Caenorhabditis elegans: one gene and its partners. The protein of the gene in region 3 interacts with the protein of the main gene of each other region in a pairwise test. Each region holds a gene or a part of one and is shown on either strand. Other genes may lie near its edges. The genes, in order: rrc-1, ubc-8 and F42G2.5.

Evidence for each region.
Region 1: the proteins of F42G2.5 (region 3) and rrc-1 interact in a two-hybrid assay, tested with the Caenorhabditis elegans proteins (2 studies listed by BioGRID).
Region 2: the proteins of F42G2.5 (region 3) and ubc-8 interact in a two-hybrid assay, tested with the Caenorhabditis elegans proteins (one study listed by BioGRID).

The regions. Positions count from the first base shown.
Region 1 is NC_003284.9:9,828,097-9,834,003, forward strand, and holds the start of rrc-1 (GTPase-activating protein rrc-1), read right to left. Parts: upstream 3,193-5,907; 5' UTR 3,115-3,192; coding exon 3,044-3,114; intron 2,208-3,043; exon of another isoform or gene 2,059-2,207; coding exon of another isoform or gene 2,039-2,058; intron 1,656-2,038; exon of another isoform or gene 1,571-1,655; intron 1,140-1,570; coding exon 990-1,139; intron 755-989; coding exon 625-754; intron 576-624; coding exon 492-575; intron 1-491. Other genes in the region: ipla-2 (Intracellular phospholipase A2), read right to left, coding at 5,687-5,848. UniProt on the Caenorhabditis elegans protein: Functions as a GTPase-activating protein (GAP) for ced-10/rac-1 and CDC42.
Region 2 is NC_003282.8:2,704,435-2,710,341, reverse strand, and holds ubc-8 (UBC core domain-containing protein), read left to right. Parts: upstream 1-3,103; 5' UTR 3,104-3,110; coding exon 3,111-3,166; intron 3,167-3,215; coding exon 3,216-3,292; intron 3,293-3,739; coding exon 3,740-3,888; intron 3,889-4,059; coding exon 4,060-4,207; intron 4,208-5,205; coding exon 5,206-5,426; 3' UTR 5,427-5,601; downstream 5,602-5,907. Other genes in the region: Y94H6A.10 (Ulp1 protease family, C-terminal catalytic domain containing protein), read left to right, coding at 1-221.
Region 3 is NC_003280.10:2,415,714-2,421,620, reverse strand, and holds F42G2.5 (Major sperm protein), read left to right. Parts: upstream 1-3,631; 5' UTR 3,632-3,649; coding exon 3,650-3,818; intron 3,819-3,881; coding exon 3,882-4,172; intron 4,173-4,219; coding exon 4,220-4,365; intron 4,366-4,413; coding exon 4,414-4,532; intron 4,533-4,586; coding exon 4,587-4,641; intron 4,642-4,816; coding exon 4,817-5,117; intron 5,118-5,166; coding exon 5,167-5,210; 3' UTR 5,211-5,624; downstream 5,625-5,907. Other genes in the region: fbxc-20 (F-box C protein), read right to left, coding at 952-1,066, 1,117-2,010, 2,062-2,132; F42G2.7 (phytanoyl-CoA dioxygenase), read right to left, coding at 2,616-2,984.

The DNA of each region.
Region 1 (5,907 bases), on a different chromosome or scaffold from region 3:
GAGAGAACAGTTTCAGAACTGACTGAAACAAATGCAAAAAGAATGAAAAAAAAACTTGTTTGACGAAGTCCTGATACTAATGCATAATGTAGGTGTGCATTACATTGTACATATGTTTTGCAATAAAAACAAACACAGAAATGAAATATGCACTGCAGTTAAGAGCGAGTGGTGTCAAAATCATAAGAAGAACAAGATATTTTTTCAAGGTTGTACTAGAACTCACCAATTTTGTGAGAAAGGTTCAAATAATTGAATAACTCTTTGAAATACAGACTTACTATTCTGTCAGAAAGGAAAACAAATTTTCCTATCTGAAATGTTTGCAATACTTGAAATGAAATATTTATCGTCTTGGGTTCATTTGGTTTATTCGAATCTTTTTTAATTTAACTTTTCTAATTTGAAGAGATACTGTAAAAAGTCTAAACCATAGCCAGTTTTAAATTTAAATTAAATTGAAGTTTGGAGTTAAAAACAATTTCGCTTACTTCTAAAAATTTCAGAACAGGATAGCACGTTATAATGCTGCCAGTGAGTTCCGATAATCGCTCCGTATACTTGACAAGAACTTCCTGTAAACATCAAATGTGATGACTAGTGATTTTGAAAAGAAGCCGTCACCTCGAACTTTGCCGTTTCCAGATGAATAAGAGGAAACAGCTCGTCAAGTCGTGAATGCCTTCGTTCGAACACACAACGATGCAGCTGTCTGTCGAAGACTGCCCAATCCTCCCGAGAACGTTCGACAAGCCTGAATGAATCAATGATGGAAAACCTTTCAAGTTTCCGTTTTTCTTTCTTTTTTCTTTTTTGTTCTTCCTCGTACTAACTTTATTCAGCCTTTATTCTCATCTCCCATGAGACTTCACTCGTGGCTTTTTTGTTTGATTTCTGTGTGGCAGAACATTGAAAGAAAAACCGAGAGAAACACCACGGAGCACGAATTTTTGAAGACAAATTGGAAACAGAAGGAATGACCAACTCACCATGAATTTGATTCACTTTCCACACGCATTTTTATCCGCTCTGTTGCATTCTCGTCAGCGTTTATTGCGATGATGGCAACACGGACGGGACCCAATTCAACAGACGAATAATGGAAGTGTTGACAGTCGACTAGTCGTTGAATGCGAAGACTGAAACACAATAAATTGTTGATATTCAACGAAATAAACAGTGAAGTAGTATATGAATTATTTCCAGCTAGCAAAATTTGCTTCTTTCAAAAATTTTTCAACTCACAAAGTTGATACTAAAACATTAATATTCCAATTAAAATGTTTGTGGTGAAGAAATGTAAAGATATTTTCTTGAAAGAACGCCGCAACATATCTACCAACCTTATCAGCTTTAGGAATGCATTTAGTGAAAAACTGGCTAAAGTTGGGTAAAATAAATTAAAGTTGGGGATGCGCTGAAAACTTTGCACTGAAAATGTTTCTATAGTGGCCTAAACTTGGTTAAAAAGGGCTGAAGTAGTTACAATTATTTAATGTACAGTTCGAATTATTTTTCTTTTAATGGTTATTCTTTGGTAAAACTTGATTTAATAGTAAAAAAAGGATATTGCCCCGGGCGGGATTCGAACCCGCGACTGGTTTAACCCAATGAGATCATAAGTCTCACGCCTTCGACCGCTCGGCCACCGGGGCACTGATTCTGAAAAATGTGCATCTCGTTGAAAACTGCTTGAATTGCTAAAATTGGTGGATAATTTGATGCGAATTGCCGAACGCCTGCCATTCTTGTTGTAACGGTAAAAAAAATAAATTTTTGATATCAATATTTTTCAAAAACTCACAGTACTCGATGTTGCACTGTAACCAATAGTAAATTTTTTATGTACAACAATACACTTCATTATTTTTCCAATTTTATTGCACTGTTTTATCTGGGCAACCGATAAACACAAAAACCACCTTTTTCTAAATTCACCTAACTAAATTTTTTGCAAATAAATGGATATAATGAGGGAGACCGTAAGTGAATTTTTTGATTTATAAACATTCTACTACAAATTCAACATATTTTGTACCCTGGTATTTCTGGATCCATCTTTGCAAGTAGTCAGTGAATAGATAAAGTCCAAAATAAAGTCATTCAATCAATTACATGAAATATTGAGATGGAATAGATAGGAGCCGAGAGGTCTCTCCTCAAGGTTCTGTTGGTGAGTGTGTAATCCCACGCTCACTACATCGTACGCTAGCTGCACTCGCCGGTCGTGGCGGTAGACAAGCGGATAAGCGATGAAACATTCAATTTTGATTGGGATGAAAGGGGAGAAAGAGATGGACCAGAGAGTGATTGCAGAAAAATCAAATTGCAAAATGTGGGCCACTGGTTAGATTTATGGAAGGACATTTATCAAAAGGTTGTTGGAAGCAATTCAATGTTTCGAAACGTTTTTAGTAAAACTGGAGAATTTTAGACCTTTCACATAGTTATTTTTCAAGAACAAAAATACAAGACAGGTCTGTATTGCAACTCTTAGAATTGCTTCAAGACGTCTTGGTAAAAATATTTATTTTAAGCAGATTGTAGAATCAGTTGTAGCACGAAGAAAAAACAAACCAAACTGTTACTCTTCTTTTAACAATTTCTTATGCATATGATGTGAATTGTTGTTTTTACAGTAAAATTGAAGTTGTCTACATAAAATTAAATTTATGTTTCAAATATACTTTGAAAAAAAGTTCCACAACAGAAGGGAAATTACGTTACACGATGGCCCACAATTATAGGCCACCCTGCATCATTAACACGGTGCTTAAAAAATTATTATACTTTTTTTGAAAGCTTTTGAAACAAGTTGGATGAATCTAAATGTCGGGTTTCGCCCGTTTTTCTCTTAATTCTTTTCCGATTAGCTCAAATGGTTAATTCCAGACCTCAAATCTTTATTCAAAATATCTTTTGCGCAAGCAAAGATAAGTATTTTGAAAACGAAATGTTAAATTTGAGTGCATTAGGATTCTGGCAAACCTAAATCATTAAATTTTTTAAAGTTTGAAAATCTAAAAAATTTCGAAAAATCTACCTTCTTCCGTTTCTGCGTGCAAATGGGCTTTTGGGAGATAAAGGTGCAAATGATTCCTCGATGCCTTCCATTTTTTACATCACTTTAAATGAATACGTTGCTTTTCAAATGTTTTTACCAGTTTTTGTTGTCCTCGTTATCCTTCCTGAAAATGGCAACCGGAAGTCATGAGAATAAAAGGTAAACGTGTGGTGTTTGAGGAAAAATACATGTTATAAACACACGCTTTGCTTATAGATCGGTTCGATTATTTACATGCAAACATCATGTCAATTTGTGTTGGCAAATGAGAAGTGACGGCTTTTAGTTAGGAAAGCGGGACGAAAAGGGGGCAATCAGGAAAATCAGTTAAATTGTCGTGTGACTGAAGGAGTAAATATGGGTTCTGTTTGGAAGTTGTCAAAAATTGAGCAATGACATAGGAAGGCAGGCGTTGTTAGGAGCCAACAACCAAGAATCTTCAGACATGTGTTAAAAAATCATGTGGCCAGAAACATCTTGTTCGAGAGTTTTAGGATAAAACTGAAGATTATGATTAAGATTTTAGATATATATGTACCTCGTTTCGTGATATTTGAAGATAAACGTTGTGAGGAAGTGAGTTTCTGATGTTGTAACTTTTAAGTGGAAACTCTATTTTTGAAATTAAAAAAAGAAGGTTTTGAAGCCATACACTCAAATTTAATATGGTTCCAGAGCAAAATTTATCTGGATTATTAGAAATTTATCATAAAATTTAAAAAGGGTCGTATAATTCTACACAAAAAACCAAAACTAAAAATAAAATAAAGCAATTTATATTTTATATTATATTCTTTATGCTTCTAAACTTTTGATTAAATATACACAAATTTCACATAATTTTCTCGGAAAATGTGTTGTTTTTTAGAACACATACAATTAACGTTTATCACTCGACTGGGTAGAACAAAAAACGCAAAAAGAAAAAAAGCTCAGGTTGGTTCCAAAAATTCATCAACACTTGTGACACCTAGCAAAAAAGATAACCAAGCTCTTCAGGGGCAGCAGCCAACACGGATCCGTGCCGGGTTTCCGGTTTTCTAACGCAGTGGACAGCTGCTGTTGTTAAGGAGGAGAGAAAGTACAAGCCATTTGAAACCAAATTCTAGGCACAACAGGTGTCAGGATTTTCATGGATGGTTAAGGATGAGAAAGAACTGGTTGAACGATTGATGCTAATCAGTATGATTTTGAGTCAAAAATGATAAAACGAAGGGTTATTAGTGTGTTATATTTCCGGACGCTTCATCTTCTTCATCTTCAAAGTTTCGGTCTAAAGATAAAGAAGATAGCAACGGGTCCCGAGTTTCTCTCTTCGTCTCATCAACCAATCTCCGTCGTCTTGTCTCTACGTATCACAATTCTGGCGAAGCACACACACACACATACGTTCTTCTTTTTCTACCCCTATGCTCTTTAGCTGCTGCTCTTCTGTGGAGCACTCGATACAAATCTACCACCTGACACTATCACCGCATTGGGTGAGACGGGCTTGCTGGTTCAAATGTTCTTGCAGACAAAAATGACCGTCATATGCTCTAGCTTCTTTTTTTTCAACTACTCTTTGGTAATTTAAGAAATATGGATACCTAAAGTTGATCTGACAATTAAAATGTATTTGTGCAAAAGGGAAAACAAATTGTTAGTAATATTATGAGCTGTAACTTGTAAATAACCTTACTAGAACATATTATATAGTGCCAGAACAATTGTAGAAAGAATTACCGTGTTTCCTGAATCAATCTTGCTTGTAAGACAAATTTTGGATTGACCCGTAGAGGTGAAAGACTAATAAAGACTGCAACACTATTAGAGGCTGCAAAACTAATAGAAAAAATACGGAACTCATTTTTTGACAAAAAATACAACAAAGTTCGAAAAATGTGTTATGACAAAAAAGTTACCAACATACCAAATGTTAAGTATTTGTGAAGTCTGGGTTGAAAAAAAAGCTCAAAAAAGCAAAAGTTTGGCATGTATATACAATAGACAACTGGGACTTTTCAGGTAGTAATTATAAGAAACCACAAATCATCAAATTTTTTGTAGGAAATTCCAAGAAAAATTCAGGTTTCATCAAATTGAAAATGAAAATTGAATGACCTTATTTCAACATCTAGCTTTCAACACTTGATGTTATCGTCTTACACGTCTTCGCAAGTGACACTTTTTCTTGAGACAATCGTCGTTTGATCCCAATTATTTATTAAAGCCCAATTCATTCAACTCATAGATATAAATGCATGAAAAAATATTGAAAAGTGAATTATCATACTGGTAGACTTTGATTCAGAGAGTAGAAAGAAGAGAGAACCAACTGATGACAGTCACAAATTGACACAACAAAATAGGGTAGCGCGAGTTTGAGCGAAAAGGAGAGCGGTTTGGCGTTTAAAGCAATAAAACAAATCTAAAATTTTGATAAAAGTGCCGGTATTCCATAGGAAGATCAACAGGGAAATCAGAGTAAAACTGGGGTAGGAGATTATGAGGGGAAAAATGATAACACATATCAGCTAATCAATTTTGCAAAGTACATTATTATACACAACTGAAATATACAATTTGTACACACAAATGCTGGAGGTCTATCAAATCTGTTTATGACATGAAATCTAATAATTAGAGATCTGTGAATGGTGTTTTGACGTGCGGGTGGTCGGTGTCGTGCTTGAGCACTTTTACAAGCTCATCAATATAATCGCGATGCTTTCGACAGTAGATGAATGAATCCCACATCATTGTGCATACATCCAAATCGCTAGTTGAAGAAAGAAATATATTCTGAAATAAAAATGTTCATTTATTTTTCAAAAATATTTTACAGCTAAAATTTAGAGAAC
Region 2 (5,907 bases), on a different chromosome or scaffold from region 3:
AAGAAACAACGAAAACTTATGAGGGAGCACAATTTCAGTACGGAATTATGAGGCCACTTACGCGTATTAGAATGTTTGAAGCCCGCCAAACTGTTGAAGAGCAGCAAAACAAGGCTCATGAAGAAGGTATGAAGACCGAAATCAAGGAGGAAATCGTCGAGGAAGGCAGCCCGTTCAATTTGAATGATATGAAGAATAACCTTCCATCAACTTCTTCTTAATCCAGGTGCTTCGTAATAATAATTGATATTTTTTTGATTTTTGATTTTAATTGATTTTTCTGTGTTTCTTTTTTTAAACTAAACTTACAAGCATGTTTTGTTTAAGGTTTATTGGTTTAAATGAATATCTGAATGAAAAAAAAAATATGTGAATGAATAAATAATGTGAATGAAATATATTTAAATGAAATGAATATATTTAAATGAATATGTTAAAATTGAGAAATGTTTTGTCACTGGCTTTGGAAACAACATGAGCATACGGTATTCAATGGTTAGGAATATGGTCATACACTATTGTATTTTTTCTCGTCTCCCAGAGAGCGTGATAAATTATTAAATATGTATAACAAATTCCCATTCAAAAGTTTCTAGAATATTATTTGAATGAAAAGTTGTTTGGAATATTTGGGCTAGAATATATCCCTGCTATTTTTAATATTTCACATCGTTATTTGTCATTGAAATAACGTCAGAAAGTCCAAAATGGAGTAATCCTCTCATCATTTTTTTGACTATATCGAAAACATTATGATACATTTATAATATGAGAAAATCTTGAAAATGTCTTGATTGAGGTATTGTATTTCTTATATCTGAACTCCAACTGCTAAACATTATTTTTAAATTTCCGCCAATTGGATTTGTTCGGTGGAGCGTGCTTGCATTATTTTTATTTATTAATTATATTTACTCTCGTTATTTGACTGATTTTCTTAATTTTCTATGTTTTTTCATCGGAAAATGAAAGAAATAAACAAGACAAATGCAAAATGTTTGTTAAAAAGTAATTGAAAATGCACAAAACTATCAGATTTTGAGTTCCGACGGCAACAATCAGTCAAATAACGAGAATAAATAAAGATTAATTGATAAAAACAATGCAAGCACGCTCCACCGAACAACTCCAATTTGCGGAAATTCAAAAATAATTAGGGGGGAAAACTGTGATTTTATTTTTTTTTAATTTTTAAAAAATCATATAAAATCAGGGAAATTTTTTTGAATTTTTTTATCATGATATTCGGTCATTGTGGTACCATACGCGTGCTTTAAAGCAATTTCCCCACTGAGCGTAGTCCACCTTTAATGTATTTATTTTAAATAGAAAACATATTAAAACTAAATTTCTGAAAATGAGCAAAATGTGTTGTCAATCTAGAATACGTGCAAAATTGAACTTTTCTGCTTAACAAATCCCAAAATGTCTAGAAAAGCCGCGCAATATTCTCTAAAAGTTCATCGTTCTCTCCCCCCTCAGCTGTTTGTATGCCTACTGCGCGCCCATTCGTCTCCCCATGAAATCTCCGCGTCTCACGATCCCTCCTCTCTCGCTGCGCGTCTCCACAAAGTGCACACTCTCTCGCGTCTGTTGTCTCGTGTTTTCTTTTTCTCTGTCCTGTCTAACCCACTCTCTCACTTCCGTGTACTCTCTCTCGAGTCGCAAGACACGGCTGGCTGCCGGGGGGCGCACGCAGCACAAGACAACCAGCCGACGACGACCCGCGCCCCGATGATCATATGTTTTTCGTCCAGTTTTCCATCGATTTTCAACCGATTTTAAGCAGTGTTTTGCGCACTTTGAAGCGTGGATTCTGAGAGTGCTGTAGACTTGGATACTGCAGCTATACGTGGCAAAAATCCCGTGTAATTTGGAGCATTTTGAAGAGGGTTTACACCGGTTTAAAGTACTATCAGTTGTTTTTTTAGTTGTGTAGGGTTGTGAGGGGTACTGTAGCTAATTGATGATAACGGTACAGTAATCCTGAGTACTGTAGAAACACGTGGCAAAAATTTTGACCATTTTGGAGCATTTTGGAGCATTTTTACGGGGAGCTCATTGAAGTGTTTTGGTGTTGATAGGAGTGCTGTATCTAGGCTAGGGGTACTGTAGCTAACTCAAAAACAAAATACAGTAACCTGGGGTACTGTAGGAACAGATTCTGGAAGTTTGAGAAAATTTAAAGCATTTTGAATAGTTTTAACAGAACTTTTTATGAGTTCAATTGTTGTTTTTTTTAAATTTATTTTGATGCCATAAAGGGTACTGTAACTGGTCTAGGAGTATTCTAGCTACAGTAATATTGAAGTACGGTAACCTAGGGTACTGTAGCAACATTTTCTGAAAATTTGAGAAAACTTGAAGCATGTTTAATAGTTTTAACAGAGGTTTTTCTGAGCTCAATTGCTGCTTTTTCGTAGTCTTGATAGCATAAAGGGTACTGTATTTATGCTAGGAATGCTGTAGCTGACCCAAAATTTTAGTACAGTAACCTGGGGTACTGTAGGAACAGATTCTGGAAATTTGAGGAAACTTAAAGCATTTTGAATAGTTTTAACAGAACTTTTTATGAGTTTAATTGTTGTTTTTTGTAGTTTTCATGGCATAAAGGGTACTGTATCTAGGCTAGGGGTACTGTAGTTACATCAGTATCTGAGTACAGTAACCTAGGGTACTGTAACAACATTGTCTAAAAATTTTGAATATATTGGAATGTTTTGAACAATTTTACGGGATTTTTTTTGAGCCAATTGAATTTTTAAATGTGTTTCGGAAGCATTGTGCTTACTGTACCTAGTCTAGGAGTACTGTAGCTACATTAATATTTGAATACAGTAACCTGGGGTACTACTGTAGCAACATTTTCTATAAGTCTGGTGACATTTGGAGCAATTTGAGCGAGGTTAAGCCTGGTTTTGGCCTGAAACTTTATTTACGTGTTTCCGGGTTACAGTAGTCTACCGTATCTCAGGGGTACTGAGAAAATTTGTTCAAAGACTATTTTCAAGTCCATGTATGAAATTTTTTTCCTTTGACCAAAAAAAATTTCTTGAAATTTTTTCCAGAAATTTTTTTTCTATCTGAAAAAATCGATATTTTCAGACCCGATGACGTCAGCCACCGCAATCGGAAAACGCCGTATAGACTGTGACGTCGTTAAGCTGTAATTGAATTTTTCGGAAAATTCCAAAAAAATCGATATTTTGTTCCAGAATTTCCCACAACCATGAAGTTCAGATTGTGAATGGGTGCAGCGAGTTTATTGTCAGATTTCATGGGCCAAAAGATAGTACGTCATAAAATAGAGAAAAATTGAATATTTTTGGCAAAAAAATCAGAAAAAATGGCCCAAAAATGACTGAAATAGACTTGTTTTCGCGCAGTGGCCGAACTTTTGCTTTTTCTAGGCCACCAGTTGAAAAGTTAGTCCCCGAAATTTCGATGTGACAACTTAGATTCCTCGTAATACCTGGAAATCAGAAAAAAACAGCTGGGGACTAGTTTTTCACTTGGTGGCCTAGAAATCCAAATGTTCGGCCACCGATTTTCTAAATTTTTTTAAAATGATTTTCATCGTTTTCTAGGGTGGTTTTTGTGGTTTTAAACGGTTTTTCAATTCGAAAATTCGAAAATTTCGAGAGTTTTGCCCATTTTCCTCCAATTTTAGGAAACTTTTCCCCAAAAAACTTCAATTTCAGACAGGTTTTACCGATTTTTCGAACAAAAATTCTTGCAGCTGCCTACGAGAATGGTGTGTGGAGAATTCGTGTCGATATGCCGGACAAATACCCGTTCAAATCGCCGTCCATCGGGTTTTTGAACAAGATTTTCCACCCGAATATCGATGAAGCTTCGGGCACCGTATGCCTTGATGTCATAAATCAGGTAGGAATTGGTGGCCGAAGTGTGTGGAAAGTTAGTCCGTGACTATGTTCTTAGTCATTTTAAGTAATTTTAAGCAATTACCAGCCCGCGGACTAACTTTTCACTTGGTGGTCTAGAAATCCGAAAGTTAGGACGCCGATTTTTTTAATCGGATTTTCATTTTTTCTTCAGGCCTGGACAGCCCTCTACGATCTCACAAACATTTTCGATACCTTCCTGCCTCAACTTCTCACCTACCCGAATGCAGCAGACCCCTTGAACGGAGAAGCCGCCCGGTTATACATTCACAAGCCAGAGGAATACAGAAGAACGTGTAGAGGTGCGTTGGAACACTAAAAAATCAATATTTGCATTGAAAAAACCATGAAAATCGACCCAGAAAGAGCGGAAATGCGTTGATGGCCGAGTTTTGGGGTTCTAGGCCACTAGTTCATTTCTTTGAGTTTTTACTGTCATTTAGTATGTTTATAACACGATTTAGCTTTAAAAACCGGTTCACTTATACTGGGGGACTAGTTTTCCACTTGGTGGCCTAGAAATCCCAGAAACTAGGCCACCGTTATATTTTTCGATTTTTTTTTTGGGGGTTTCAGTTATTCTCTGTAGTTTATACGCTGAAAAACAGTTTTTCTAGAAAGAAGTCCACAAGAAAAACCAAAAAAAAATCGGTGGCCTAACTTTTGAAGAATTCGGATTTCTAGGCCACCTCGGGTATTATATTTTTTTTTCACGGTTTTAGTAGGCTTTCAACCCTGAAAAATAAGGGAACCAGAGGAAAAAAATAGATAAACACACGCTTCGAGCCCAGTTTGGAAGTTGGTGGCCTAGAAATCCAAAAGTTAGACCGCCAACTTTTTTTTACAATTTTGATTTTGATTTAACCATGTTCTAAGCTTATTTGTGTAAGGATCTCAATTTTCGCGAAAAAAATTTTTTTAGAGAAAAAAATGTTGATGGCCGAACTTTTGAATTTCTAGGCCACCTACTCGAAACTGGCCGTTTTATTTTATTTGGAGCTTTTTTTAATTCAAATTATTAAAGTATATTTTAATCCTTTTTTTTAATTCGGCAAAAAACAATCGGGGACTAGTTTTTCACTTGGTGGACTAGAAATTCTAAAAGTTAGGCCATCATTTTTTTTTTTGCTTTTTTTTTGCTTTCTGCGTACTTTTTACGGTTCTAAGTGGTTTTTGAGGTTGAAATTGCAAAATTTTAAGAGTTTGAGCGAATTTTTCCATGTTTTTAGCAATTTTTTGATCAAAAAAATGGAATTTTGCCGATTTTTATCGATTTTTTTAAATTTTTTTTTATTTTCAGAATACGTAATGCGATTTGCAAGTGAACACCGTGCCATAGAAGGATGCTCCCCGGGAAACGCCTATTCCATATCCTCAACACCCTCGGAGCACTACGATGGTCACCCGCAGGACGATGACGACGAAAGTTGTAGTTCAATGTCGGAATTTGATGAAAGTGAAGTGAACTTTGATGATTTTGATGCTGACGACACAATGACTGTAGATCAAATGGAATTTTAATGGGGGAAATATTCGGAAAACTTTTATTTTCCGCTTAAAATTCTTTTTTTTTTGTTCAATTTGTCCGATATTTCCCGTGAAAATTAAGTCAAAACTAGTTATAAATTGAGATTTTTGAGCAAAACTCACACTAGAATGATGCAAAAATTGATGATGGCCGAACTTTTCTGAAATTTTTTTTTTCTAGGCCACCAAGTGCAAATATTTATTTTCATCAATCTAGGGGTAAAAATGCTCGAAAATTTCAAATTTTCCACTCAAATCTCTTCATTTTTCCCATAAATCACCAATTTTTTTGACCTCAAGCCCCCCCCCCCCCCCAAATTTTCTCTTCAATTCCCCCCGAAATTCAGGATTTTTTTGTATTTTTTCCCAGTTTCTTCCTTCTTCGTGTGTCCATATCTTCGTTGCCCCCGTTTTTTTTCTCGTTGTCCTTACTCATTTCCTATGAGCACCTGTGTAGAATGTGTAGAAAATTGTA
Region 3 (5,907 bases):
GGAAAAAAGGAAAAATGTTCAATTTGACGTACAGTCTGATGGGTAGTGCAAAGATGTGTGGCTTTTTACTAAATCATCACTACCAATACCGTGTTTCATTCTCTTTTCTTCCTATCATATTTTGGAAGAATATAATTTTGGGAAAGCAAAATCTTTAAATTAATTTTCTCAAATTTAGAATATTTACGTGAGAGAATGAGAGAGTGCAGAGAAAAAGAGTAAAATGAAAAAAATGAAATCGAGAGAGGCCGTGTGACTGAGCTGCCAGAAAAATTGATTGTTCTTATCAGTTTGTATGGTTCTGCACGTGTACAACTATATACATAGATTTGTTTAAATGTGGAGTACCGAAATTTGACCTATACCCAAACTGACCCAAAACTACCAAATTTTGTAATGAGGCATGCTGAAAATTTCTCAAAAAAAAAGGTTTGGAAAAATTGCCCTTTTTTAAGAAAAATCACATTTTTTCCATTGACTCGGTGTCGCAGCGTCTGGAACTTTATTTTTATTTATTTGGCATTCTTCAATAAATAAACATTGTGGTTTTTAACGGGCGTATATTTTCATAGAATTTGAGAACATAAAAATGAAAAAAGGAATTATTATAAGGAATTAGAATAAAAAAGAAAGCAGAAAAAACATTTTTGGTTATATTAAGTAGGAAGACATTTTCCCATCATCATCGTCATATGAGTTATCAACTGATAATGATGGTAAGTCGTTCTACAAATACTAAAAGGGTAGGCGATATTTGTTGATGTCGAAATTATGATAATGTAAACACAAACAATTAGCAACAACTTCAATGATCAATTCTAGTTTAAAGATTTTAATAAAACTTTATTGAAATTTGCTCAATATCAGAAGTAAATAAATCAGTATCAGGATAAATTGTGAACAGTTATATTTGCTTCTGTAAACAGTTGGGATTTGAATTCAGATGTAAATTTACATAACTTCTCGTTGCTGAACTTTATACTCCAAAATCCATGTATCCACTTTATGACTGACGACAATATCCGTGAAGTTGTTTATATGAATGGTCAGTTGATTCTCAGCAGTTCTGCAAAAAAAAAACTATATTTTAGAGCAGCACCATCAAACTTTACTTACCCTTCTTCCACATTATAATTTATTCGAATTTTATCCAGAACATCAATTATGTTTCCCTCATTCCTCATTGCAAATGAGAAATGCGTACCAACTTCCCGCCCGTGCTCCATCCAATCCTCGAAAAGCCGAAAAGTAGCATCATACAAGTACGCATTAATGTAAACTCTTTTGTGCCGAACTTTGAGCAATCCCTCCCCGGAAATCACTTCGCAGTATAAAAGTAGCATCTCAGCGGTTTGAATAAAATCAATATCAAGATTCGGAGCATTCATAAGGGGATCAGAAATGATGACACCTGATAGTGGTAGGCTTTTGATATCCAGTAGATGTTGTGTGGCATTTAATAGCTTTTCCCGGATTAAGCCATTTAACTGTACAACTTTAGCACGAATTTTGAGGTGTCTCGGGATTCGGAGTATTCCAGAGTTTTCCACGCAAAATTGTCGGGCTTTGATAGTAGGCCTTCCTCCCAGAAGCTTATCAATTAGGTATTTCATAGCATCGTGAAGCTTCCGCTCATTGTATTGTAATTGCTCAGAGTGATTTCCAACGGAAAACCGGATGTAATGAGTATAACTGGAGCTGGGAGCATTTTTCAAATCAGCTCGAGAAATCCTTTGCTCATTGTATGATGTTGGATTGTCGGTTCTGTCATCGACCAAGATCTCCTGTTCTTGTTCCTGGTCTGGCACTACCATTTCCAAATCTATAGATCCTTGGCTATTCACATCATATGGAAATGCTCGTGGCTTAAGCGAATTCTCGATCACATTCAATTCATAGGTGGTGCCATTCAATTTGATGCTGTTCTCATTTAACTTTAAAGATTTCAAATATAAAGGTCTTGATTTGTCAATAGAAGTGATTGTCCGGCACTGCTGGGAGAGTTGGAATCTAGAAAAAAAGCTTGTTTAAACATTAGTAAAATAAAAATAAAAAACTAACTTTTTATCAGGCTTCAGGTGCTGAAGAATGCTCCCAATGCTTGGATATGACAATGGTTTCGAGCTATTCATTTTTGATAATAAAGAATATGGAGAGAATTGAGCAAGCCGGTTCGATTCAACCAGATGTGTCCCATTATAGGATTATCTAGCAGCTGGTCTTATTCGGCAAGGCAGGCGTATCTCATTATCTTCCATCACCTTTTATTTTGATAATTAAAATGAACGACGGGGTATATCCGAATTTTTTGGTACAACAAAGTCACGGAAATCGATTTGATATGGGTCTTTAAAGTTGAGTAGTTAGGTACACCCCTACCACAACTCTGCGTAGACCTTGTTTAGCCATCAAGGAACTTGGTCAGGCTCAGCTACTTACACTACTGTTGCATGGGGCTTTCTAAGCAATCAAGCCAACCGTAAATTTTTAGATTTTTCACGAGAAAACTGAGAATGATCTATAATCTATAAACCACAAACTTTTAAAATAATGTTTCACATAGCACATGCTCGCTGGCAGCCTTTCTGAAAAGGAAAACGCGCTCTAACGGAAAGTTACTCCAAGATATTGAAAATGCGCGCGCGGGCGTGTATTTCGTCGTGACACGAGAACCCATCGGATCGACTGGCACCGGATCCGTGGAACAAGCACGGATGGTAGAACACAAAATCTCCAGCCTTCATCTCAACGGATTCACGTGGAAGGGACATGCCATAGTCCTTGTTCGCGTAGTATGCCATGTTGACAGCACCCTGAAAATGGTTTTTGTTCAGTGAATTCTGCGTTGCTGGGCCAGAAACATACCTCTGGGTTCCTGGGATCACTGGCAGAAAGACAAGTCCTCTGGGCGCCACGGGAAGTAGATCAAATCCTGATGCATTGGGTGACGTGATGCCAGTGATTCCGTGTACTGTGGCTTGCATATGTGTGCATCACTTCAAATCGTCCTTTCCAACGCATTCTCTCACGTGTAGAAAACCATTTGCTTCTGAAAGAATATTGCTGCATGGTCTTGAAAAGTTCGGCCATCGATTTATCGATTTATCCAAAACTCACTGTTTGCAAATCCACGTGTCGAAAGAACCACGATTCTGATGATTTCATCAGCGACATGAAGATGGTAATGAATATTTTTGAATTTCACTTCCTCCCCCTTTTCGTTTTCTTTTGAAACGTGGATTTTTTTCACGTTTGTCTCTCAATTAATTTTTTTTTCAATTTTATAAATTTAATTTTTAATTAAAATAAATATTTTTTAAATAAAAAAACGATGCCTGAAAATGTATTTGAATATAGGATCACTTTGACAGTTAACAGCGATGAGATGATACCACAAAAACTCTATATGAGGACCTTTTTCAACAATATTTCTATTCTACACATTATGAAAAAAACAAGTAACACATGAAAAGAAATTGTTCCTAAGTCTTAGATAAGAGTAACACCCAAATTGATAACAGTTTTCTTTCGAAAGTTGCTGCCTGTTAAATGTCATAAAATTTCTGGTAAATATTTCTAAAATTACTTGAGTTAGGCTTTTACTTTACATACTCTTCTCTTTGCATTTAACTAATATTACAGATAAACAATGCCTGAAAAAAAGAGTCTTCTAGAAGTGCCTCCAGAGCTCGTCTTCAGTGGTCCATTCGATCACGTGATCACTACTTACATGACGCTCACAAATATATCACAAAGCCCAGTGTGTTTTCTAGTAAAAACAACGGTTCCAAATAGTTATTGTGTTCGTCCAAACAGAGGTGAGTATTTTGAAGAAAAATGAATGACACGGTTACCGGACGGCCATTGTTTCATTTTTAAAGGAATTCTAAACATTGGGGACTCGAAACAAATTGAAGTGATGCTCCAACCTTTGGAAAAAGTTCCACCTGATGCTAAGCAGCACAAGTTTCTGGTTCAATCGTGCGTCGCGCCTTCCATTGATGTTTCTGATTTGGAATCAGTTTGGAAAAATGTCAAACCAGACGAGCTTACCTACAATAGGCTTGTGGTTACTTTCGTTGACAATACAGATTCAAAATCAAACATCGAGTGCGAAATATGTACCTTGGAGTTTTCAAGTGTTGTTGATAACCAGATTCCTAGGATTCTTCGTGAGTTTTGATGCCTCTAAAGTGCGGCAATACAATTTTTTGTACAGAGTGTGGCCACTCAATTTGTCAAAGCTGTGCATCAAAGCTGGCCAAAAACTGTGTTATCTTATGTCCATTTTGCCGGAATGAAACCAATGTGAGCAGTGTGGCAAGTCTTCCCAAAAACTTTGCATTACTGCAAGCAATTGATCAGGTAAGTTGATAACAAAGTTGTTCTCAACTGTTGAACAAATTTTTAAAGAAAACTTTACGAGTTCCACCGTTGGAAATCGCAAAGTTAAGACAACAACTGAGCTGCCAGCTCTCAAAATTGGAGGAGCAAGTTAGTAAAACTGACAAGAGTATTAAAGCTGTTGGCAGGTAGGAAAGTTGGAAAATGTGAAAAAATTATTAACCAAAAAAAAATAAATTCAGAGCCCAACTCTCAAATTTGAAGGATGGGAGGGAATTTCAAGAGAGAAAGGATTCGGTAGGTGAGGACTGTAGACAAAAAAAATTTAATTGCCCGGATTTTCCAATATAACTGCTTGAAACTTTCCCCCACAGTACGCTGCTATAGGAACACTTCCCAATTTTTGAATTTTTCGAGGTATTCCTTAGCACTCATAATATAAATTAAAAAAAAATTACACACAGCTTTACAGATAGTCTCCTACTATGCTTCAATACGAGAAACTATAAATGCTTTGGAAAACGAGGCGATCGGAAAATTACACACCATCGCAGACATGAACGTTTCAAAGAATGCGTTGCTTGTGGCAGAACTATCAGAAATCCTTAAACATCAGAATTTAAAAATTGCCGAGTTGAAGTTGTCGATGGAAATGGACGACGTAGAGCTTGCGACAAGATCCTTAACCGATTCGGGAACGGAATGTGCAGTTGTAAAACCTGCCGTTTTAGATGTTGCACTCACTTTTCCGGAGATAGACAAAATGGCTTTACGTAAGATAGCTGTATGGATTAATGTTTTGTTTCAATTTTGAATTTTCAGTTTCCATGACAACAAAATTCCCTTCCAATTTCAGCACCGTGTAGAAAATCCAGCTTGCTGTTTGGGTTGATCTTTGTCTGCAATCACGTGGCGCAATATTTATGTATGTATGTATAATACAATACAACTAATTATAAAATGCATTTTTTCTTTGCTGTGACCAAATTAGTTCTAAAATCTTTTTCCCGGCCCTTTCATAGTCTTTTAAACCCCCAGTAATCTACAAAACATATAAAAAATATTTTTTTAAAGGAACATAGTAGATAACTTTTTTTGATGCACTTAAAAAAATCTCCCAATATTGATTTTTTTTTAATTTTAAATTTCGTCAAAACTTTTTGATTTAATACTGAATTTCTTTGAATTCTTTTTGGTTTTTCTAATCATATTGCACACTTTTAGCACAATTTCTGTGAGTAATTTGTTGCAAGTACGTTAAATAAACTATTTTGACTTTTTGAACAAGTTCGCAGGAGAAATTTTTTTTGTCAATTTTCTAAAAAAAATTTGGCTTTTCTTTTGATGAAACTTTGTAAAATCCGTTAATTTTGTTATTTTCCATATAAAAGCTGACATTAAAACTTATTAAAACTCTCGAAAAAGACGTGGAATTTTTTGTTGAAAAAAATACCAAAAAATTCCATAATATTATCCTTCAGAAAATATATTTGACAATTTTGTAGCTAACAAGGTTCTAAATTCACTTCAGTTTTGACCAGAGGTATTTACCAACCGCCCTCC